Caenorhabditis elegans: one gene and its partners. The protein of the gene in region 3 purifies or fractionates together with the protein of the main gene of each other region. This does not show direct contact. Each region holds a gene or a part of one and is shown on either strand. Other genes may lie near its edges. The genes, in order: ZK1320.3, ttc-1, asp-12 and Y50D7A.10.

Evidence for each region.
Region 1: the proteins of asp-12 (region 3) and ZK1320.3 fractionate together in Caenorhabditis elegans (co-fractionation; one large-scale study listed by BioGRID). This does not show direct contact.
Region 2: the proteins of asp-12 (region 3) and ttc-1 fractionate together in Caenorhabditis elegans (co-fractionation; one large-scale study listed by BioGRID). This does not show direct contact.
Region 4: the proteins of asp-12 (region 3) and Y50D7A.10 fractionate together in Caenorhabditis elegans (co-fractionation; one large-scale study listed by BioGRID). This does not show direct contact.

The regions. Positions count from the first base shown.
Region 1 is NC_003280.10:9,657,927-9,662,546, forward strand, and holds ZK1320.3 (uncharacterized protein), read right to left. Parts: upstream 2,494-4,620; 5' UTR 2,490-2,493; coding exon 2,326-2,489; intron 2,133-2,325; coding exon 2,044-2,132; intron 1,945-2,043; coding exon 1,843-1,944; intron 1,798-1,842; coding exon 1,667-1,797; intron 1,596-1,666; coding exon 1,518-1,595; intron 1,422-1,517; coding exon 1,359-1,421; 3' UTR 1,320-1,358; downstream 1-1,319. Other genes in the region: ZK1320.2 (uncharacterized protein), read right to left, coding at 23-85, 131-208, 292-422, 471-572, 678-766, 909-1,072; cyp-13A10 (Putative cytochrome P450 CYP13A10), read right to left, coding at 2,989-3,229, 3,368-3,511, 3,559-3,815, 3,861-4,160, 4,207-4,306, 4,354-4,620.
Region 2 is NC_003279.8:10,673,995-10,678,820, forward strand, and holds ttc-1 (TPR_REGION domain-containing protein), read right to left. Parts: upstream 2,818-4,826; 5' UTR 2,810-2,817; coding exon 2,684-2,809; intron 2,344-2,683; coding exon 2,215-2,343; intron 1,704-2,214; coding exon 1,602-1,703; intron 1,551-1,601; coding exon 1,284-1,550; 3' UTR 1,174-1,283; downstream 1-1,173. Other genes in the region: C34B2.3 (Protein kinase domain-containing protein), read left to right, coding at 1-209, 462-566, 616-702, 750-830; lonp-1 (Lon protease homolog, mitochondrial), read right to left, coding at 3,069-3,212, 3,260-3,424, 3,474-3,716, 3,763-4,002, 4,395-4,653, 4,705-4,826.
Region 3 is NC_003283.11:8,268,163-8,272,786, reverse strand, and holds asp-12 (Peptidase A1 domain-containing protein), read right to left. Parts: upstream 2,145-4,624; 5' UTR 2,143-2,144; coding exon 1,829-2,142; intron 1,781-1,828; coding exon 1,567-1,780; intron 1,515-1,566; coding exon 1,137-1,514; intron 1,061-1,136; coding exon 779-1,060; 3' UTR 731-778; downstream 1-730. Other genes in the region: asp-5 (Peptidase A1 domain-containing protein), read right to left, coding at 1-40, 87-400; asp-6 (Aspartic protease 6), read left to right, coding at 3,852-4,159, 4,205-4,334, 4,442-4,624.
Region 4 is NC_003281.10:313,140-321,810, reverse strand, and holds Y50D7A.10 (ADF-H domain-containing protein), read right to left. Parts: upstream 6,352-8,671; 5' UTR 6,350-6,351; coding exon 6,250-6,349; intron 4,876-6,249; coding exon 4,693-4,875; intron 381-4,692; coding exon 307-380; intron 252-306; coding exon 192-251; 3' UTR 95-191; downstream 1-94. Other genes in the region: Y50D7A.1 (F-box domain-containing protein), read right to left, coding at 7,698-7,863, 8,018-8,156.

The DNA of each region.
Region 1 (4,620 bases), on a different chromosome or scaffold from region 3:
GAAAAACCCAAAAAATCACAAATCAGTTGGCCTTGATCAATCCGGCGAACACTTGATACAAACCCCAGGTTCCATCCGGCATTTGCTGAAAGTAGAAAAGCTTTATCTACTTTAGATAATAAAAGTGTACCTTTTGGGCAAACTTCTCGCAGTAGTTCATATCTTGCTTGACATTGTCGGTTCCAATGACGCTTGGTGGAACTCCCATCTTAAATGGATAGGGTTAAAGTTCGGATTTGAATTTTTGGATTTTATCAGCAGTGAGCCAATTCTGATTCTGATATGACTTACATCATAGATGACATAAGCCCATCCTGGCTTATTGATATAGAAGTTGAGAGCCTCTGACATGGTTTCGATGTCATTGTAAGTCTTAACAACCGTATCGATTGTTGCAGAAACAGTGTCGTCGATGCAGAAATCTGAAAACAAATGAATTTCAGGTTTACTCTAGAAAAAGAGGAGCTCACTGAAATCATCATCATCGCGCTTGGTTGGAGTGCCGCTGATCAGCTCAGCATGAACCTTGACTCCAGATTTACGGGTGTAGTGACGGCGAACATTGTAGGTTGCTGAAATATATGAAAATGAGTTAGATAAAGTTCCACATATTTTATTTCAATTATATTTTTCAAAACTAGGAAGTGGCTTTCAATATTTTTTGAACGCTAACTTACGAACTGCAGTTGACTGATTGGCAAATTGGAAACGTGCAGCAACCTTGACGGATTTGCGGTCAGCACAGTGAGTGATGCACCAATTTGGTCTGAAAAGTAGAAATGGATTTTTTCATCTGGATTTGAATAATTAAATTTAAAATTATTGATTAAAAGGATAAAACAATTCTAGATCAGACACTCTGACTTTACATGAATTCTTAATTTAATCTTGAAAAGGAATATACTAACCTCACAAAATCCAATCCAGAGGATCGGAAATCTTGAATTGGAACTGCATCCTGTGTGGATTCATCTCCAACTGGAGTATAATTGCACAAATTTCCTCCTGGAGCAGAAGTTTGTTGAGCAAAAATTGCTGGAACTGCTAAGCAGGCAAGGAGAAGAAGCTTCATTTTCCTAAAAACTCTCGATAAAAATGAAAAGGAAACTATACTCAAAAACGTTTCAAAGCGAGTAGCAAATGGTCAAATTATCGGAAGTTATCAGTTAAAAACTGAAATTTTCCACATCACCGGCCTCCTCTTTTGCCAGTTGAATGTGTTGATAACGGAAAATAAAGAGTGGAAAATTAAATATTGAAAAATCACTAATGATTTCATTTTGAGAATAATAAGAATCAAATATTCAATGTAAAACTTTAAATAGTTAAATCGTTTATTAAAAATTAAAAGAAAAAAATCAATTAGCCTTGATAAGTCCTGCGAATACTTGATATGTCATGTAGGTTCCATCCGGCATTTGCTGAAAAATTTGTAAAATTTGGTGAGGTCTAATTTCTAATTCGGATACTTGCAGGTCTGGTTTTGTTGCATTTTACAACATTTTCTGAGTACTTACCTTGTTAGAAGACTTCTCACAGTAGTTCATATCGTGTTTGACATTGTCAGTCTCAATGATGCTTGGTGGTACTCCCATCTGAATATATGTATTCAAGTAGAAATAGTAGACACCTATATATTTTCCAAAAAAAAACTTGTGTAACTTACATCGTAAATAATATACGCCCATCCTGGCTTGTTGATATAGAAGTTGAGGGCTTCTGACATGGTTTCGATGTCATTGTAGGTGTTGACAATAGTATCAATCTGGGCCGACACAGCATCGTCCATACAGAAGTCTGAAATTTTGACATGTATTTATACCATAAGATGAAATCACTTACTAAAAGGATCATCGTCACGCTTGGTCGGGTTTCCGCTGATCAGCTCAGCATGAACCTTCATTCCTGAATAACGGGTGAAAGTACGGCGAACTTTGTAGGTTGCTGAAAATTCCCATTAAATTCTAGGATGTTTACTGGTATTTTCATAATGTTCCAAATGTTTTTACATGTACTTTAGTGTACTGATCTATGTTAACTTACGGACTGCAGTTGACTGATTGGCAAATTGGAAGCGAACAGCAGCTTTGACAGATTTGCGGTCAGCACAGTGGGTGATGCACCAATTTGGTCTGAAACTTTTTAAATTAAGATATTCGGCTATTTATGTGGTTCAAAAATTGGTAATCGTTTAGTATCCCACTGTTGCCAAAGTATTTTTCTGGGTCTAACTAGTAAGACCATCAAGAGTTGGCTCAACATAACTTGGCCGCGGCCTAAACCAATCATTACTAAAGCTGTTCCAATTTTTGAACATAAACTGACCTAACGAAATCTAATCCAGACGTTCTGAAGTCCTGAATAGGAACAGCCTTTTGGTTTGATTCATCTCCTTGTGGAGGATAAGTACACAAATTTCCACCTGGAGCAGACGTCTGTTGAGCTAAGATTGCAGGAACTGCCAAACAAGCAATAAGAAGAAACTTCATTCTCCTGAAAATATAAATATATGCTTCAAAAAATTTAAGTAGCAAATGGTCAAATTAGTATGAATTGTGGAGAGAGTTATCAGTCTAAAACTGACGTTTTTTAAATTATGAGCGTTTTCTTTTGACATTCAGTTATAGTGATAAGAATATTAAATAGAAAAATGGGAAAGCACTAATGATATCACTGGAAAAGTTAAAGGACAAGTTGTTTACAGATAAGTTTATGAGCATTGATTCCGGGGAGCCAGCAGCTTAACAAAACTGATTTCTTGATCCAATATTGCTCACAATCAGATGATTCAAAAGTTTATGCGAGTAAAATTAGTAGAAATACCAAATTAGTCTGATATGTTTTTCAAAATTGTTCTTCAATTAAAGGATAGACGAGTTTCTCAGAAAATAGGCTGAACATTTTCAGACTCTAAAAAGCAAGAAAGTTTTATTTGAAAGCTTTTTCGATGACTAAAATACAAACAAAGAGGGTCGAAAATTATTGAGTTCATATCCTTTGCTTCAAATGCATCCAAACAGTTTCCGGTTGAGTCGTGGCTCTTCCAACTAATTTCAATGGGATTTCTGTCTTGGTGCCAACTTCAAATGTATATTTTCTAAGAATATGAGCCAAGAGCATCTTTTCCTCCATATAAGCCAATCGCATTCCAACGCACTGACGAGGTCCTAATCCGAATGAAATATATCCTCCTTTTTGGAAAACTTGGTCACAGTTGGGGTCAAGCCATCTGAAATAATAACTAGTAGGATCTCTTACTAAATAATTTAAAAGGTGGAATACTCTCCAAAGTGATTCGCTTTTTAAAACTTTCAAAAATTAAGCCAATAATACATCTGAATATATTTTTTAATTTTGAAAAAAAAACCTTTCTGGCTTGAACTCCTTCGCATCATCTCCCCAAATCTTTGTATCAGTATGAAGACTCCAAGTATCTACTTGAACCATTGTTCCAACTTCAACTTCTACATTTCCCAATTTAGTGGCTCTCATGCATCTCCGAGAGTTCGCCCTGGAATAATTGTTTTTTTATGTGAAGTATAAATTTAAAACTCCTACATTGTTCCCAAAGGGTACAAACGTAAAGTCTCTTTGATAATACAATCCATGTATTTTAGTTTTGAGAGATGATCAAATGAAATTGATGGTTCTATGCATTCTCGTTCTATTTCTTCTTGTAATTTCTTTTGAACTTCTGGATGTGTTGCTAGGAGAAATGTAGTATAGGATAAGGATAGAGCAGTTGTATCGAAGCCAGCAATCAAAAAAACGAGACACTGACCGACTATTTCTTGAGTTGTTAGTTGACGGTTTCCCTGCAATTTTTTAAATTCAGGAATAATTTTTCTCCTGAAACTCACATAGCTACTAGTCTTTGAAAAATCCCCATTATTCTCTTGAAAATGCTCCACATCATCTGCTCTTGCTTCCAAAAATAAATCGATAAAATCCTGTGGCTCTCCGATTTCAATTCCATTTTTTCTATCATTCTCCCTCTGATCTATACGATTTTGAACGGCTGTCACAACAGTTTTGTTGACGTGAATGAAATTGGCTGCTCCCAACAATGGAAATTTCAACATAAAAAATCGAAAAACTTGAGCAAGAGTAGGAAAAACTCCACCGATGAGGGGAATATGCTTTCGATTATCTCCGAATATCTGGAAATATATGTTGAATTTCACTGGTAATAGTACCAAAACGAACCGCTCTGACAAACTTCAAAAGTGGATTTTTGAACATTTGCGAGTCGGTCTGACCCATTGCAATTCGTCCTATAGTATCCATTGTGAACTCTTGGTAGAATCTGTAATTTAAAATTTAAATTACTTTTCCAATACATCGAAAACTCACTGTAACATATCAATTTGTTGTCCCTCCGAAGTTTGTTCTTCAATATGTCTCAATAATTCCATCGCACTGTCTTCCACAGTTACATTGATTTTTCTCAAACTGTTATTCGAAAAAGTAGGACTAGATATAGCTCTGAGCCTTTTCCATCTAAATCCTTGAGCCGAGAACAAGTTAGTTCTCTCGTCTTTTTCCGGATCACCTTGAATTGGATTCAGTTTTCTACCATAGAAGTTGTCATACTGCTCAACAAAAATTTGACGAACAATG
Region 2 (4,826 bases), on a different chromosome or scaffold from region 3:
TCGACTTTGGATTTGCTCATCAGTACATGATTAAGGATGGAACACTGAAACCTCCGTCAGCTCATCCATGGAAATACGTGGGAAGTCTTCGTCATATGCCACGTGCCGCATATTCGAAAGTGGAATTCTCAAGAATGGAAGACTTGGAAATGTGGTTCTATATGAGTGTTGAGCTGGTTAAGGGATGTCTTCCGTGGGCTCATTTGAAGGTAAGACTTGTTGAGTAGAATATGGCTCCAAATGCAATCGAAGAATGTCTCTGAAAGTAACTTTGCATCAAAGAACGGCATCACTATACCCTTGGGCTTTTACGGGAGGCAGGCGGTTTCAGGCTTTGGCACATGACTGCCTGCCTGACGCCTGCCTGGAAATCCTCCTTTGCATATAACTTTGCACGGCGAAGTAGGTGTAAATGCATTTTTGACATATATCAAAGCCCTTCTCTATGTATCCTTTTCCAGAAACCAAAAGAAGTGCATGACTATCAAAAGTTGTGCCGAAATGGTCTTCAAATGCGTGAAATGCTCGGAGGTCTTCCACCAGAATTCGTCGACATTATGCAAATAGTAGGCAACTCCTTTGCAACTTTTCCCCTAACAATCCATTCTTTTTCAGGTTGACAAACTTTCATTCACCGACACTCCGAACTACACAGAAATCTACGGACTTCTCACCAACGCGATTCTCTTCAGTGGCAAAAATGTATGTCTTTCACACAATAAAAGTGTTATCATTTATCATAATTACAGGAATTCCCGTACGATTGGGAGGAGGCTGAGATCAACGAGTTCAAGAATCCGCAGAAGCCAAGTGTGGAGCAGGCAACCTAATAGCTCTCTTTCTATGGAAATAAATTGACTTTTTTGAATATTCAAAGTGTTTTTATATCTTATAACGTTATTCCATAAACTCCCAGTACAATACATCTACAGAACTAGAGAAAAGAGAGTTCAAAGATCAGAGATCAAACTACATATGAACAGAACGAAACTGCATTTTATATGTAGTTACATTGTAGTAAACGATATAATTTCATTTCAAAAGATGAGTTATCATATATTTAGGAATGACCCTTTTGTAGATCCCCTCCATCCCTGATACGGTAGCCTTAAAGTTTCGATCTTTTCGAGACCAGAGAACATTTTAGTGTGAGCGATTAAAATTTCACGAATACAAATAGAAATGTTCATTTTAATCTTTAAAATCACGAAATTGAAAGCAAGAAGACTATTAACCGGAATGCAGATAGAAAATGTACAGAAAATTCAAAGAATGTCGGCCAATTATGCATTTTCCTCTTCTTTCTTTTCCTGACTTGCACCTTCTTGTTTATTCGTAGCACCTTTCATTTGAACCGAAAATCCTCCATTTCCATTCGGGACCATCTCAAAACTGTCTGTCGAGAGCCCAAACGGCGATAGACAGAAATTTCCGAAACCCTTCAGTTTTTCCATCACATCGGCTTTCATCGCCTCATTTCGATTATTAATTTTCTCATTGATTTCAGCGATTTTCCGATCAAGTTCGACGCGGCGTTTTGGAAGAGATTCCTGGAAAAAGTTTACTTCTAATTTCAAAAAGAAATCTACCAAAATCGATACCTGTAACTGTTTATAATCTTCAATAGAATTCTCATACTTTTCTGACATATTCGAGTATGCAAACGCCCGTCGTTCCAGTGCTTTCTCGTTGGTTGCTCCAATCTGAAAATTGATTTTATTTGTTTCAAGCTAACTAGCTAATAGTAAGTCGCAAAATTTTGCTATCTAAGGGTCTCAACACGAAAACCGTTTGTTAAATGCAAAAGGACGCCTTTTGAGGATTACTGTAGTTTCCAACTATAGGAGCCGGGTTTTCGATTTATGAGAAATTAGTTTTCCGACATTTCGATTTTTTTTTAATTTTTTGAAAAATATCTTAAAATTTTGCCAATTTTTCCTCTTGTAGAAGATAATTATGTGTTTCCTGATGTTTTTTTCGTAAAAGTAAACAAAATTTGATAAAGAAAAGGATTTTTTTGTCAATTTTCAAAACCCTTTTCTTTTTGATTTTCAGGAAAAATGAAAATCGAAATTTTTGTTGGAAATTTCAGAAATACTTAAAGCTGCAAACTTTTATTCATTTTAACGCCAAATTTTAGTGACAAGGCCGTATTTTGTGGTCGAAATTGGGAAAATTTCGCGTCTGTGTAATATTTCATGCTCTCTTCAGTACCTCAATTGATTTCGACGCAGCTTCCACAGCAGATTCCCATTTTCTTAACTTGATAAGTGCAGCTGCTGAATTTGAAAGAAGAATCGATTGTACTTCTGTGGATGTTGGAGGGCACGAGGCAATGGCTTCCTGGAAAAATTTCAATTGTATACTGTCGAAATAGACCGATCAAGCCGTTAATTTTGCAAGTCTGCGGCGCGTTGTATGCATGTAGATTTACGAAGAATTTTGTACTACACTCGGACAAGTGGGGATTTTTTTTGAGATGATTGTGTAGTTTTCAGCTAAAATTCTTGTTTGTAATTTTTCGATATTTTTAAAAATCAAAATTTTTGTTTTTCAAATTATTGTTTTCTTTACTATAAAATTATATGAAAATTGAATTAATACTTGTCCACGTGTAGTACAAAATCCTGCGTAAATCGACAAGCTTCAAACCGCGCCGCACGTTTGCAAAACATTCCAATACCTGATATTTTTCATTCGCCTTTTCGAATTCTCCATTCGCAAAGAAATTATTTCCTTCTTTTTTCAATGAATCCACTTTTGTTATCTGATCCTCTTCATCCTCGAAAATTTCTTCGATAATTGCCATTTCTAAAGCTGAAAATAATGGTTTTTAAATAAAGAGAATATTATTTAGAATTTAAATGAAAAATATTTGAAAAGATCAAACAACTTGAGATTATTAAAATTAAAAAAAAAACAAAAATAAAAGTAGGAAAATGTTTATAGCCTGAACTTTTTTCTTTTCAAAACGTTTTTAAAATAACAAAACAAGAAAAAATGGATTAGGTGAATCAACAAAATCTATCTGAAAGGTATTAACTGGGGGTGAAAGAAAGGGACACGTATTATTGGAAGAGATGCTCGTAGAGCTCATCATAATGCGAAACGAATCGAATATCCAACTCTGATTTCATGAATTCTGGTAAATCATCAAAGTCTCGACGATTCTCATTTGGAAGGAAGACTCGTTTTGCTCCGACACGGCGAGCCTGAAAAAAAATGAAATTTTTGAACGAAAAAAGAACAGAGGACCCACCGCGATCACTTTTTCCCGAATTCCACCAACTGGCAGCACTTTTCCGGTTAATGAAATTTCACCAGTCATCGCCATGTCCTGCACAACAGGTCGGTCTAAAGCGAGTGAAAGAAGACTTGAGACAAGAGTTACTCCTGCAGATGGTCCGTCTTTTGGTGTTGCTCCCTAGAAAAATGGAATTGGTTAGTTGAAATTATTTCAAGATTAAGCTCACTTCGGGTACATGAATATGAATATGTGCTTTATCGAAGAATTTGTTATCGGGTTGCTCTCTTGCAAGAATTCCTTTTGCAACAGTCAACGCTGTTCGAACACTTTCTTTCATTACATCTCCTAAATTTCCAGTTGTTTCAATACTTCCATCCTTATCATTTGTCAAATCAACAGGTCGTTTCAATACAGTTTCAATATAAAGTGCAGATCCACCCATTGCTGTCCATGCGAGACCCATTATCACCTGAACGGAACGTGAATTAAGTTTTTAAAACAGTTTTTTCGCTTACTCCAGGCGGTGTTACTTCATACATTCGATCTGATGTGAATTTGGGTCTTCCAACGAACTTTTGCAAGTTTTCTGTGCAAACTACAATTTGTTCGGCTGAAGATTTTAAACAATCTGCAGATGATGTAGAGGTGATTGGTTCGGCTTCTGAGTTTTCAGTGATAGCAGTTGTTGCTTTTTCGGCTGGCTCCTCATCCTCGTTTTGTTGTTCAGCAATTTGAAGAGCTGCTTTACGGAAAATCTGGAAAAAAAAGGTAATTTCTATAAGCAATCTAAATATAATTGTCGAAACAGAACAATCAACTCGAGGCGCGGATCTGAGACCCGAAGAACTCGGGGGATGTCCAATTGGGGGATTACCAACTCGGGGGATTGGCCCCGCCCACAGAACCGTGGCTTGCAATACGCCCATTTCTGCAACTGCCGCACGGTTTAAAAATTATTTTTTCTTGTTAATTCTCGCTCTATTGAGAAAAATACAGTTTTAAAACCGTGCGGCAGTTGCAGAAATGGGCGTATTGCAAGCCACGGTTATGTGGGCGGGGCCAATCCCCCGAGTTGGTAATCCCCCCAATTGGACATCCCCCGAGTTCTTCGGGTCTCGCGGATCGTCCTGTTTTTACCAAAACATACTCTTTCAATATGTTGCTGTAAATTTCTGACTCCAGATTCACGACAGTAATGCTTAATGAGCTCTTCCAACGCAGAATCTTCAATTTTCAGTTGTTCTGTGGCGAGAGATGTGTCTTTTCTGAGTTGAGGAATGAGATGTTGATGAGCAATTTCAACTTTTTCCTCGGCTAAATAACCGCTAACATCAATCATTTCCATTCGATCACGAAGTGGTCCCGGGATTTTTGAAATCTCGTTTGCCGTGCAAATGAACAAAACTCTGAAAATTAGAAATAAAATTATAGAACCAAGAGGAGAAGCATCTTCAAACCTAGACAAATCAACTGGAACATCCAAGAAATGATCATTAAAATTCGCATTTTGTTCTGGATCAAGAAGTTCCAAAAGTGCCGATGCGGGATCTCCATGGAATCCAGCTCCGCCGATTTTGTC
Region 3 (4,624 bases):
CTTTGTTGATTGGTACTCTCTCTTTCCTTTGCAGGATCCACTGGAAAATAATTATCAAAAATCAAAAACAACAAGGATTTACTCACTCGCAAGATGGTCCTGGAACCCAGAGGTTTGAAGATCCGGTGTCCAAAACAACGAGGAATGGCTGTGGTGGAGTTCCGATGGTGATGTTTCCGAGATACTCGAAATCTCCAAAGTCGTTGACGTTTTGTGGAGCATTGGCATACACAGCTGGGTCAGCGTCACGAAGAGCAGCTTTGTGTTGGACGTATGCTCCCCATTCTCCACGTCTCATCATTTGCATCTTGATAGATTCACGGTAGATCAGCTTGTGCTGGACAACGGTTGCCGAGCACAGGCCCAAAAGGGCAACTAGTGCTACGAAAGTGGTCTTCATACCTGGAAAAATGGTCGTGAAAGTTAACATTAAATTATAAATAGTAGGAAAAGCTGACAAAACACAGAAAAAAGGTAATACGAATGAAACAGCTCAGTCTATGAAATAGATAAGAATAAGGAGAATTCGTACTACAAGTTAACAAATTCCTATTTTATTTGAGTTGACAATGATTTCTTATCATTTATACTCAATCAGATAACGGTCTGTGACGTGGGTTTTCACTTCACAAAATTGTCCAGAAAATGAAAAAAGAAATAAGGTGTACATGACGATATGTATAAGTTGGACTTTTGACCATAATCACGTAGATCACACACTGAAGAAAAGTAAATTGAAGTATTCATTTTCATTTCTCACAATCGCATTGCATAGAGTTTATTTTGAAGAAGGCTGGAGAGACTTGGCAAAACCAATGCGCTGTTGTCCGATGTCATAGATGTTGCAGTATTGACGGATGAAAGGATCTCCGAAAATCCATGATGGTCCGAATCCTCCGAAATCGAATGAGAAAGCAGCAAAGACACAAGTGTCACCCATTCCAACATCAAGGATATAGTTGACAGGTTCAATAGAATACACATTTCCTCCGATAGTAATGTCCAAAGTTCCCTTAGATGTTGAGCATGGGAGGTAGTAAGCATCATCATCGCTGTGGTACTGGAAAAGGTTTAGATATAAAGATTAAAAAAACTGTTTGTCCCTCACAACGAGTCAAAATTAAACTGATACTCACTTTTGCTCCCAAAGCTTGAGCGAAGCCATTTATCACAGCACTTGGTCCTCCGATGAGCGAACTTCCAGTGTCGGAAATCACTTGAGATTTCTTATTGTTTGAGTATGATCCGAGCTTAAATCCATCAGCAACAAACTGATAATACGTGGCAGATGAAAGTGGTTGATAGGCAATCACTGGTCCGCAGTTGGTAGTGTCAACGGCTCCGTAGGTGAAGACACCTCCTCCAACATTCTTTGCCGTTCCCTTATGTTCTAAAAAGACTGTGAACAGAGGTTGATCGAGAATTTTCTTGTTGATGGCGTTGATCAGTGGTGGGGTAACTCCGTCGACTGCAAGAGATGTGAAGGCAAGCCCGAGAATTCCTTCAGCAGCGTCCTGAAAGTTTCGTTCCGATGAAGAATCAAATAATCTGGGAAATAGATCTTACATTCTTAAAGTTAGACGAAATGTGAGAGGCAATACCGAAAGTGGTAGATGGGACAAGAAGTTGTTGTTCTGAAGCACCACCAAAAGCAACAGTATCTACTCCCATGATTCCCTTAGCGCTTCCAGATTCGTATTGAATTTGCCATGATTGTCCGTTTTTCTTGAATGTTGTAGATTTAGATGAGTCAAACTCGCTCTTTCCTTTGCATGTTCCACTGAAAATGATAAAAATTTAAAAACCATTGTGTAAGGTGGCTACTGACTCGCAGTTACTTCCTGGAACCCAGAGATTCGCAGAACCAGTATCCAAGACGACAATAAACTGTTGTGGAGGAGTTCCAATCGTGATATTTCCTAGGTATTCAACATCTCCAAAATCATTGACATTTTGTGGAGCACTGGCGAACACAGCTGGATTGGCGTCACGTAGGGCAGCCTTGTGTTGAACGTATGCTCCCCATTCTCCTCGCCTCATCATTTGCATCTTTGGCGATTCCCGATAGATCAATTTATGCTGAACCACAGTTGCCGAGCACATGCCAAGAATGGCTACAAAAGCGAGAAGAGTTGTCTTCATTTCTGAAAAGATTTATTGAATATTTCGATGTTTTCAGTGCGTGTTGTGTTTTGAAATAAAAGAGGTTTCATTAATTTTGGTTGAAATCATGTTTGTTTCTTGATTCTACTAGTTTTTCAACGAACAACTGTTTGAAATACAATATCATTTAGGTTGACTTTTGTGCGAGACTGTGTGAATGCCCGGTACGATAAAAAGTTCAGTAGTCCTATTATGCTTGAAATATGGGTATTTGAAAGTGTAATACAAGTATTCAAGAACTAAAATGGTTCTTTCTTCCTAAAATTTATGCGTTTAAGATTAAATACCATAGAAACCTAATATTTTTCGTTCTTCAGCTCATAACTTTGCAAACTAGAATGTCCGTGCAAAGTTTGGAAACTTTGGCCATTATTCTTTCAATCTGACGCAAGAACTCTCACTTTCTTGATCTGATGCGATAAATTATTGATAATAAATCAGAATACGTATCTAGATTCGTAAGAAGCTTATCTAGAAAAGTTCCGGCTCATAGTCAACATGCCTGGCTATTGGGCACGTGATGATCAAGATGTTTGTACTGTCACAGGTTGAGAAGTAAAACAGCGGAAATGATTGAGGAAAACGTTTGATTTAAAGAAATGTCAATAAAGCTATCATGTTGACTGCCAAAATAATACAGAGCCGGAAAAAAAACTGCAGAAAATAGTGATGTCATTTGGGTACACTTGCAAAACAAGCGTACAGTATTAATTGGATTTCCAATTCAAAAGGGTGAACTGTAAAACTTGAAACCATGCCTAGCTTTCTCTGCAATCCACCAAAAATTTTATATTTGGGGTCTTTAGGAAGATAGGCTGAAAATTCATCCTTAACTATTCCCTGGCAAGTTTTCTGGCAAAAAGTTTATCTACATATAAATATGGAGTTTTGCAAAAAAAAATGCTGTGGAACAATTGGAAATGGACATAATTTTCAAATAAAATTCAAATAATGGGCACTATTGTAACTATTTTACTAACTGTGAAGTAAGATGAGATAGAAAGTGCCGTTAAGAACCTTCCAACTCAAAAAGTTTATTCAATTCAAAAACTGTATAATGTTGAAAACTATAATACAGAGCAAATTGAATTGTTGGAAAATCTTACAGTGATGCCTTAAATAAGGCTCTCGTCATTCATTATATCATCCTTTGGACTCTGTCTGTTCAAGTTTTAGCCATGCTCAAACTGTATACTTTCCTATCGCTTACGTAATTCATCACGTATTACTCCGGATTTAGCCAGTAAACCTACGTGTGTACCTGGTATTGACCTATCAGCACTTGACTCAAATGTCATCCATCTCCGGGTACCGTTCACGGAACTTTACGCACTTTTGATTCAGTTAATACTCGAGTTTTATTAGCTCATAAAAGCTGTTTCGTCAGTTTTCAGTCGTTACTTCCAGAAGCCGGAATCATCGGCACTACTCTCTTCACTAAACTTCATTTTTTAGTGATAAGAATCGCACCGATCGGGTACAAACCAAATAAGAAGGCGGTTCTTATCAACCAATTAAACTTACGTCAGTGCGCCCATGAGTTTTCTCAACAAGTATAAAACATAGCACTATCTGACATTTTCTACTTCAATTTTTGCTCTTGAAATTGAAAATTATTTCACTCGTTTATCTACACTTTCAATTTCATTTCCATTTAGAATATTTTTCTGAAATATTTATTTTCAGGTATGAAGACCTTCATCCTTCTGGCCGTTCTTGGCCTTGCATCGGCTTCAGTCCATCAACACAAGATCGTATGGAGGGAATCCAAGAAGATGGGAATGATCCGTACTGGACAATATCCAGCTTACCTTGAATACCAGAGAAATCTCAGAGCTGTGTCCCCAAATGTTCTTGCTAATCTCCCACAAAATGTCAATGACTTTGGAGATTTCGAGTACCTCGGAAACATCACCATCGGAACCCCAGATCAAGGATTCATCGTTGTTTTGGATACCGGATCCTCTAACCTCTGGATTCCAGGACCAACCTGCAAGTGAGTAGATTTCAGTTCTGAAATATTTAAAAAGATTATTTGAAGGACCAACTGCAAGACCAAGAGCAAGTTCGATTCCACTGCCTCCAGCACCTTCGTTAAGAACGGAAAGTCCTGGACCATCCAATACGGATCAGGAGATGCCGCCGGAATCCTCGGACAAGATACCGTTAGAGTAAGTTTATCTTCAATGCATTAATGTGTGCGTTGTGTAATCTTGATATAAATTAGCTGGCAAAGTGAATTTTACAAAAAATCAGTCCTTATCAAATTGATTTTCAGTTCGGAGCTAAGGGAGACTCCCAATTGTCTGTTCCAACCACCACCTTCGGAATTGCCAGCAAGATTTCCGCTGACTTCAAGAATGACGCCACCGACGGAATTCTCGGACTTGCTTTCACCTCCCTTGCCGTCGACGGAGTTGTCCCACCACTCATCAACGCCATCAACCAAGGAATCCTTGAC
Region 4 (8,671 bases), on a different chromosome or scaffold from region 3:
TGCCCAAATTTTTTTAAGCCATCTAATTTAGTTATGGCAAAAAATCACAATTTTGAAATTCCCATAAAATGTTCAAAAACTCAATTTCCGAGAAAAATAAATATTTATTGTCTGAATATTCTGTATAATCGCAAATTAACATAAATAAATTATCGTATAAATATCTTCAGCCGGCGGTGGAAATTCAAAATTCAAAATTTCGATTCGAGCAGTTCGTCGTCGATTTCATCGATATCTCGGATTTCCGTGTTCTGTAAAAGTGTAAATATTGATTATTTTCCGCACAATTTCTAATTTTCTGTTCACCTTTGACACGTGGCATTCGTTGACGATGAAATTACGGCTCCCAGCGTACAGCATTTGGAGTTCCGGGCTGCTTCCTGTGAAAAAATCCTTTTTTTTTTGTTTTCCATTAGGTGGGTGGAGCCTAAACTGAGCAAGGAGAAAGGGGCGGAGCTAAGCAAACATTCTAAATTTTTGTTGAAACCCGTGAATTTTTTTTCACAAATGCACTGCAACTTTTTCCTCACGAGGGACGAGAAGTGGTTTCTAGGCCATGGCCGAGGGGCCGACAAGTTTCAGCGGCCATTTATCTTGCTTTGTTTTCCGCCTGTTTTCTTTCGTTTTTCATCGATTTTTTTCGTTTTTTCTTATTAAAACTGATAAATAAATATTTTTTGCAGATGCTAAAACAATTTCCAAGTGAAAAAATTATGTATTCAGTGGGCAAGCAGCGGTGAAAGTGGTCAATGTAAAATGATGGATTACGGGAATACAAAACCTAAACTTTTTCTGAAACATAATACATATGAAATTACCTGATTTTCATAACGAGACCGCTGAAAAAGTTTTGAGTTTTTCAAAATTCGACATTTTGTGCAAAAATCTCGACTTTTTCACTAAAAAATTTGAATTTTGAAAATCTCAAAACTTTTTCAGCGGTCTCGTTATGAAAATCAGGTACTTTTAGCATCCAAACAGCATATGTATCATGTTTGGGAAAAAGTTTGGATTTTGTATTCCCGTAATCCATCATATTGCATTGACCACTTTCACCGCTGCTTGCCCACTGAATACATAATTTTTTCACTTGGAAATTGTTTTAGCATCTGCAAAAAATATTTATTTATCAGTTTTATTAAGAAAAAACGAAAAAAATCAGTGAAAAACGAAAGAAAACAGGCGGAAAACAAAGCAAGATAAATGGCCGCTGAAACTTGTCGGCCCCTCGGCCATGGCCTAGAAACCACTTTTCCTCGTCCCTCGTGAGGAGAAAGTTGCAGTGAAATGTAAACTTTCAAGCAGAAAAGTGGGGATTTCTAAGATTTCCGGCAAAATCATCCCAGAAAAAATTGCATTCTCAAAGAAATTAGTCAAGAAAGAGGGGGCGGGGCCAAGTCCAGCAAGCCACGCCTTTTTTTCAATTTCAAAAAAATCGAAAATTCATCACGAAATTCTAAAATTTTGACAAAATTTTACATTTCCGTGAAATTTTTTTTGGATAAAATTGGCGAAACCCCGCCCCTTTCTTGGAAAATTCGATAAACATGTGCCTTCAATTAAGTGGACGGAGCCTAACATCACATTTCCTTTAAAAGTTCAAAAATTTAAGCTTCGAATCGTAAAATGCTGACATTTTCGACCACACAAAGTTTTAGAAAATGGGCAAAATCGGCATTTTTGAAAATTTGGCCAAGAAAGGGGCGGGGCTAAAAACAACAATTCGAATTTTTCATTAAAATCTGCAAAGTTTTTCAAAAATATAAAGTTCCAAAAGTAGAAAACTGTAGAATTTTGAGTTCTCCGGCAACAAAAACTCACGAAAAATAGGCGGAGTCTGTAAATTTGCCAAGAAAGGGGGGCGGGGCTAGGCAAAAATTTGAACTTCTAGTGAAAATGCGCAAAATTACTTCAAAAATGTACAGATCCAAGCAGAAAACTGTGGAATATTAAGTTTTCCGGCAGAAAATTCACCAAAAAGTAGGCAGAGGGCGCACATTCGAAAAATTTGCCCCCAAGAAAGGGGCGGGGTCTTACTCACATTCTGAATTTGTTCTGTCAGAAAATTCAAAATTCGCGCCAAACATTTTTTGGATTTTTTCAAAAGTGTTAAAATTCAAGGATTAATTTTTCCAAAACTACAGTACCCCTACAGTACCCCGACCATATCCCCCCACTAATCCCAAACCAATATCCCTTCAAAAGACGAAAAGACAATTTTTCCAAAACTACAGTAATCCTACCGTACCCCTACAGTACCCCGACCATATCCCTCCACTAACCCTAAACCAATATCCCTTCAAAAGACGAAAAGACAATTTTTCCAAAACTACAGTAATCCTTCCGTACCCCTACAGTACCCCGACCATATCCCTTCACTAACCCTAAACCAATATCCCTTCAAAAGACGAAAAGACAATTTTTCCAAAACTACAGTAATCTTACCGTACCCCTACAGTACCCCGACCATATCCCTCCACTAACCCCAAACCAATATCCCTTCAAAAGACGAAAAGACAATTTTTCCAAAACTACAGTACCCCTACAGTACCCCAACAGTACCCCGACCATATCCCACCACTAATCCCAAACCAATATCCCTTCAAAAGACGAAAAGACAATTTTTCCAAAACTACAGTAATCCTACCGTACCCCTACAGTACCCCGACCATATCCCTCCACTAACCCTAAACCAATATCCCTTCAAAAGACGAAAAGACAATTTTTCCAAAACTACAGTAATCCTTCCGTACCCCTACAGTACCCCGACCATATCCCTCCACTAACCCTAAACCAATATCCCTTCAAAAGACGAAAAGACAATTTTTCCAAAACTACAGTAATCCTACCGTACCCCTACAGTACCCCGACCATATCCCTCCACTAACCCTAAACCAATATCCCTTCAAAAGACGAAAAGACAATTTTTCCAAAACTACAGTAATCCTACCGTACCCCTACAGTACCCCGACCATATCCCTCCACTAACCCTAAACCAATATCCCTTCAAAAGACGAAAAGACAATTTTTCCAAAACTACAGTACCCCTACCGTACCCCTACAGTACCCCGACCATATCCCTCCACTAACCCCAAACCAATATCCCTTCAAAAGACGAAAAGACAATTTTTCCAAAACTACAGTAATCCTACCGTACCCCTACAGTACCCCGACCATATCCCTCCACTAACCCCAAACCAATATCCCTTCAAAAGACGAAAAGACAATTTTTCCAAAACTACAGTAATCCTACCGTACCCCTACAGTACCCCGACCATATCCCTTCACTAACCCCAAACCAATATCCCTTCAAAAGACGAAAAGACAATTTTTCCAAAACTACAGTACCCCTACAGTACCCCAACAGTACCCCGACCATATCCCACCACTAATCCCAAACCAATATCCCTTCAAAAGACGAAAAGACAATTTTTCCAAAACTACAGTAATCCTACCGTACCCCTACAGTACCCCGACCATATCCCTCCACTAACCCTAAACCAATATCCCTTCAAAAGACGAAAAGACAATTTTTCCAAAACTACAGTAATCCTTCCGTACCCCTACAGTACCCCGACCATATCCCTCCACTAACCCTAAACCAATATCCCTTCAAAAGACGAAAAGACAATTTTTCCAAAACTACAGTAATCCTACCGTACCCCTACAGTACCCCGACCATATCCCTCCACTAACCCTAAACCAATATCCCTTCAAAAGACGAAAAGACAATTTTTCCAAAACTACAGTAATCCTACCGTACCCCTACAGTACCCCGACCATATCCCTCCACTAACCCTAAACCAATATCCCTTCAAAAGACGAAAAGACAATTTTTCCAAAACTACAGTACCCCTACCGTACCCCTACAGTACCCCGACCATATCCCTCCACTAACCCCAAACCAATATCCCTTCAAAAGACGAAAAGACAATTTTTCCAAAACTACAGTAATCCTACCGTACCCCTACAGTACCCCGACCATATCCCTCCACTAACCCCAAACCAATATCCCTTCAAAAGACGAAAAGACAATTTTTCCAAAACTACAGTAATCCTACCGTACCCCTACAGTACCCCGACCATATCCCTTCACTAACCCCAAACCAATATCAGTTCAAAAGACGAAAAGACAATTCTTCTTCTGAGTCTCTCGGCGGAAAATTCATCTAAAACGTAGGCGGAGTTTGGATATTGTGGAAATATTTACCAAGAAAGGGGGCGGAGCTTACGCAAACTTTTAGTTTCTTGTGAAAGTACGCAAAATTGCTTGAAAACTGTGGAATTTTGAGTTTTCCGGCAAAAAATTCACCGAAAAAGCGGAATATGTAACACATTTTTAAATATTGGCCAAGAAATGGGCGGAGCTTACACAAATTTTGAATTCCTAGTGAAAATGCGCAAATTTTCTTCAAAAATGTAAAGTTTCAAGTAGAAAACTGTAGAATTTTGAGTTTTCCGGCATAAAAATCACCGAATGAGTACGAGGAGTCCGCACATTTGAAATATTTGCCAAGAAAGGGGCGGGGCTAGGCGATATTTGGTTTTTTTTCTAAAATGAGCAGATTTTGACCATTTTTCGTTTAAGTTTAGCTCTACAACTTCAGAATTTACCCGATTTTTCCGGCAAAACATAACATTTTTAGCGTTTTTCTCGAGATTTTTCGACAAATTTCGACAAAAAAATTTTACCATTTGGGCAATAATAAATCAGAAGCATTGGATATGAAATTCGTTCGTCCGAATGTTTTTTGCACCAACTGAGTAGAATAAACCGTGGTTGTTGACTTGGAAGCTCTTCTTTAAACTCTTCAATTGAGCAATCATTGAGCAGTTGCTCCGATTGAAGCTCATGCGATTCCCGGTCGATTTTCACTGAAAAATGGCAATTTTTTGGATTTTTACAACTGAAAAATTGGGAAAAACCGAAAATTTCAGCCCAGAAACTAATTTTCTCACTGCAACTTTTTCCTCACGAGGGACGAGGAAAAGTGGTTTCTAGGCCATGGCCGAGGGGCCGACAAGTTTCAGCGGCCATTTATTTTGCCTTGTTTTCCGCCTGTTTTCTTTCGTTTTTCACAGCTTTTTCCCGTTTTTTCTTATTAAAACTGATAAATAAATACTTTTTGCAGATGCTAAAACAATTTCCAAATAAAAAAAATTATGTATTCAGTGGGCAAGCAGCGGTGAAAGTGGTCAATGTAAAATGATGGATTACGGGAATACAAAACCTAAACTTTTTCTGAAACATAATACATATGCTGCTTAAATGCTGAAACTACCTGATTTTCATAACGAGACCGCTGAAAAAGTTTTGAAGGTTCCAAAATTCAACTTTTTTGGTGAAAAAGCCGAGATTTTCGCAAAAAAAGTTGAATTTCGGAAACCTCAAAACTTTTTCAGCGGTCTCGTTATGAAAATCAGGTAGTTTCAGCATCTAAGCAGCATATGTATCATGTTTCAGAAAAAGTTTAGGTTTTGTATTCCCGTAATCCATCATATTGCATTGACCACTTTCACCGCTGCTTGCCCACTGAATACATAAGTTTTTTACTTGGAAATTGTTTTAGCATCTGCAAAAAATATTTATTTATCAGTTTTATTAAGAAAAAACGAAAAAATCGATGAAAAACGAAAGAAAACAGGCGGAAAACAAAGCAAGATAAATGGCCGCTGAAACTTGTCGGCCCCTCGGCCATGGCCTAGAAACCACTTTTCCTCGTCCCTCGTGAGGAAAAAGTTGCAGTGTTTTTTTCGCAAAAATTTGCATTTTCAATGACTTATGCCAAGAAGTGGGTGGAGCCTCCGCAAGTGGGCGTGACCAAATTTTTTTGGAATTTTTTTTTTGGAATCTATATAAACCTGCATTTTTTCGGCAAGTTTTGAGAAAATTTTTGGTTTCTATTAAAGGGGCGGAGCCTGGGATAAAATGTGGGCGGAGCCTCCAAAAGTAGGCGGGGCTATGGTACTTTCCGATAAGTCTACCAGAATTTATTTTCTAAAACTCATAAAATTTGGCAGATTTCCATTAACGATGCGGAGTCTAGAGAAATGGGCGGTGCCTAGAAAAATAGGCGTGGCCTATTTTTAGAATTGCATTTGTCGCCATTAACTAGGCGTGGCCTTTTTAATCTTATTCTATATTCACGATTTTTAGCAAAAATTGACCCAGAAATAGGCGGCGCCTAGAGAAGTGGGCGTGGCTTAGTTTTCGAAAAATCTGCCATGAAATGGGCGTGGTGGACTTACAAATCAAAGCGTTCATCGTTGTACTCTTCGAGAATCGAAACTTCTTCAAATCCTCCTTCACTCCGTCTGGAATTGAGCATATTGTGAGCGATGACGTCATCTCTGCAAAGTGGGGGCGTGGTTAGGGAGGAAAGGGGCGGGGCTTATGATGAAAAATATTCAAATCGTTTTTGAAAAACGATTCTGGACGACATTAAGAAATTAAGAAAAATAGAGAGAGAGTAAATTTTTTTGAAAAAAAATCCAATAAAGGGGCGGAGCCACACCCAAGAAAGGGGCGTGGCTAGCTTATTATAAAATATCAAAAAATTTCAAAAAAGACAATGAGCAAAGGAATGTCAGAGAAATAAAATACAAAAAAGAAATTGTTGGTATAGAAAAAGAGGCGGAGCCTCATAGGATGGGGGCGGGGCCAAGAAATGGCGGCGGAGCTTATGCAATAAATATACATTACGAACAAAAATGTACAACAAGAAATATTAAAAAAGTTACCAAGCAAGGGTCGGAATCTGAACAATTGTCAAAAACAAAAAGGGGCGGAGTCTTACAAATTGCCACGAAAGGGGCGGAGCCTCGAAAAAGAAGGCGGGGCTTGACAAGTTATCGATTTTCTCGGGAAATTGAGCTAAAATTCCTTGGGAAATACGAATTTTAGGTGAAAATTGAAAAAAAAAAGCATTTTCCGACTAAAACTGCCAAGAATGGGGCGGAGTCAGACAAGTTGCCTCGAAAGGGGCGGAGTCTCGAAAAAAGAGAGCGGGGCTTAGGAAGTTATCGATTTTCTCGGGAAATTGAGCTAAAATTCCTTGGGAAATACGAATTTTAGGTGAAAATCAAATAATTATTCAGTTATCCGACTAAAAGTGCCAATAAAGGGGCGGGGTCTGGAAAATTGTCAAGAAAGGGGCGGGGCTTGGAAATTATTTTGTTTTTTTCGTAAAAATAAGCAAAAGTTGAAGTATTTTGAAAGTTCCCACAAAAAATGAGTGATCTACCCATTTCTGAAAAAAAATTGCCAAGAAAGGGGCGGAGCCTCGAAAAAGAAGGCGGGGCTTAACAATTTATCGATTTTATCGAGAAATTGAGCAAAAGTTTTTGGGAAATACGAATTTTAGGTGAAAATTGAAAAAAAAAAATGCATTTTCCGACTAAAACTGCCAAGAATGGGGCGGAGTCTGGAAAATTGCCAAAAAAGGGGAGGGGCTTAGAAAAAGAAGGCGGGGCTTAACAATTTATCGATTTTATCGGGAAATTGAGCAAAAGTTTTTGGGAAATACGAATTTTAGGTGAAAATTGAAAAAAAAAATGCATTTTCCGAATAAAACTGCCAAGAATAGGGCGGAGTCTGGAAATTTGCCAAGAAAGGGGCGGAGCCTAGAAAAAAAAGAGGCGGGGCTATAAAAGTGATTTTTCCGGAAAAATCGGTCAAATTAGTGGGCGGAGCGTCGTTATTTCTCGGCGATTGGCGTCAACAGAATAGTTTGTCCCATTTTTTCGAGTGTTCCTGGGTAGCGGACACGTCCCGAGTGCATGATGACGTCATGATGGGATCCGACGAGGAAATAACCGTCAGTATCTACAGGAGATGGGTACTGCTCAGCTTGTGGTGTCCAGCTGAAACAAAATTTCGGGTCAGAAAGGGGCGGAGCTTAAGGTGGGTTTTGAAAATTATTGAATTTTGAAGCTCAAAAAACTCGAAATTTTATAAAAAATTTAGCTAAAAATTTTTTTTTTTTTTCAAAAATAAATTTTCAAATTCCCGCCATACCGTAACTCGTCAAACTCTTCAAATTCCACGTGGCACGGTACTTCTGCCACGTAGACGGATAGACGTTTCAGTGCACTATTACGCATCGGAACTCGCGGAGCCAAATAGTCCATACGGCTTGTGTTGTAGTATTTTGAGTCTGAAATTTGCGGAGAAAAATTGGAGAAATTTTCAATTTTCCACGTGGATTTTTAGCGAAAACTGAAAATTTTTAGGAATTTTGAAATATTTTTTAGAAACACAAAATTTTGAAGAAAAAAAAATTAATTTTTCAGAATTTTTAGGGTGTTTTTAAATTTTTTTAACAAAAATTTTATTCTCGAAACCCAAAAAAATGCAAAAAGACGTTAAAATTTAAAATGTTTGAGTTTTTGGTTTTTTTTTTGGAAATTCTCCAAAAAAATGGATTTTTTTAGTTTAGAAAAAGAAAAATGTTTTTTTCTTTTTTTTTTCTTTTTCTCTTGTTTCTGGTTGTTTTTTTTCCTATTTTTTTCTATTTTTGTTTTTTTTTTCTTCTCTTTCGTTTCTTCTTTTTTTCTATTTCTCTATATTTTATCTTTCTGTTTCTTTATTTTCGTTTTTTTTTCTATTTGTTTCTTTCTTCCTTTCTTCTTTTTTTTCATTTTGTTTCTGTTTTAATTTTTTCCACTTTTC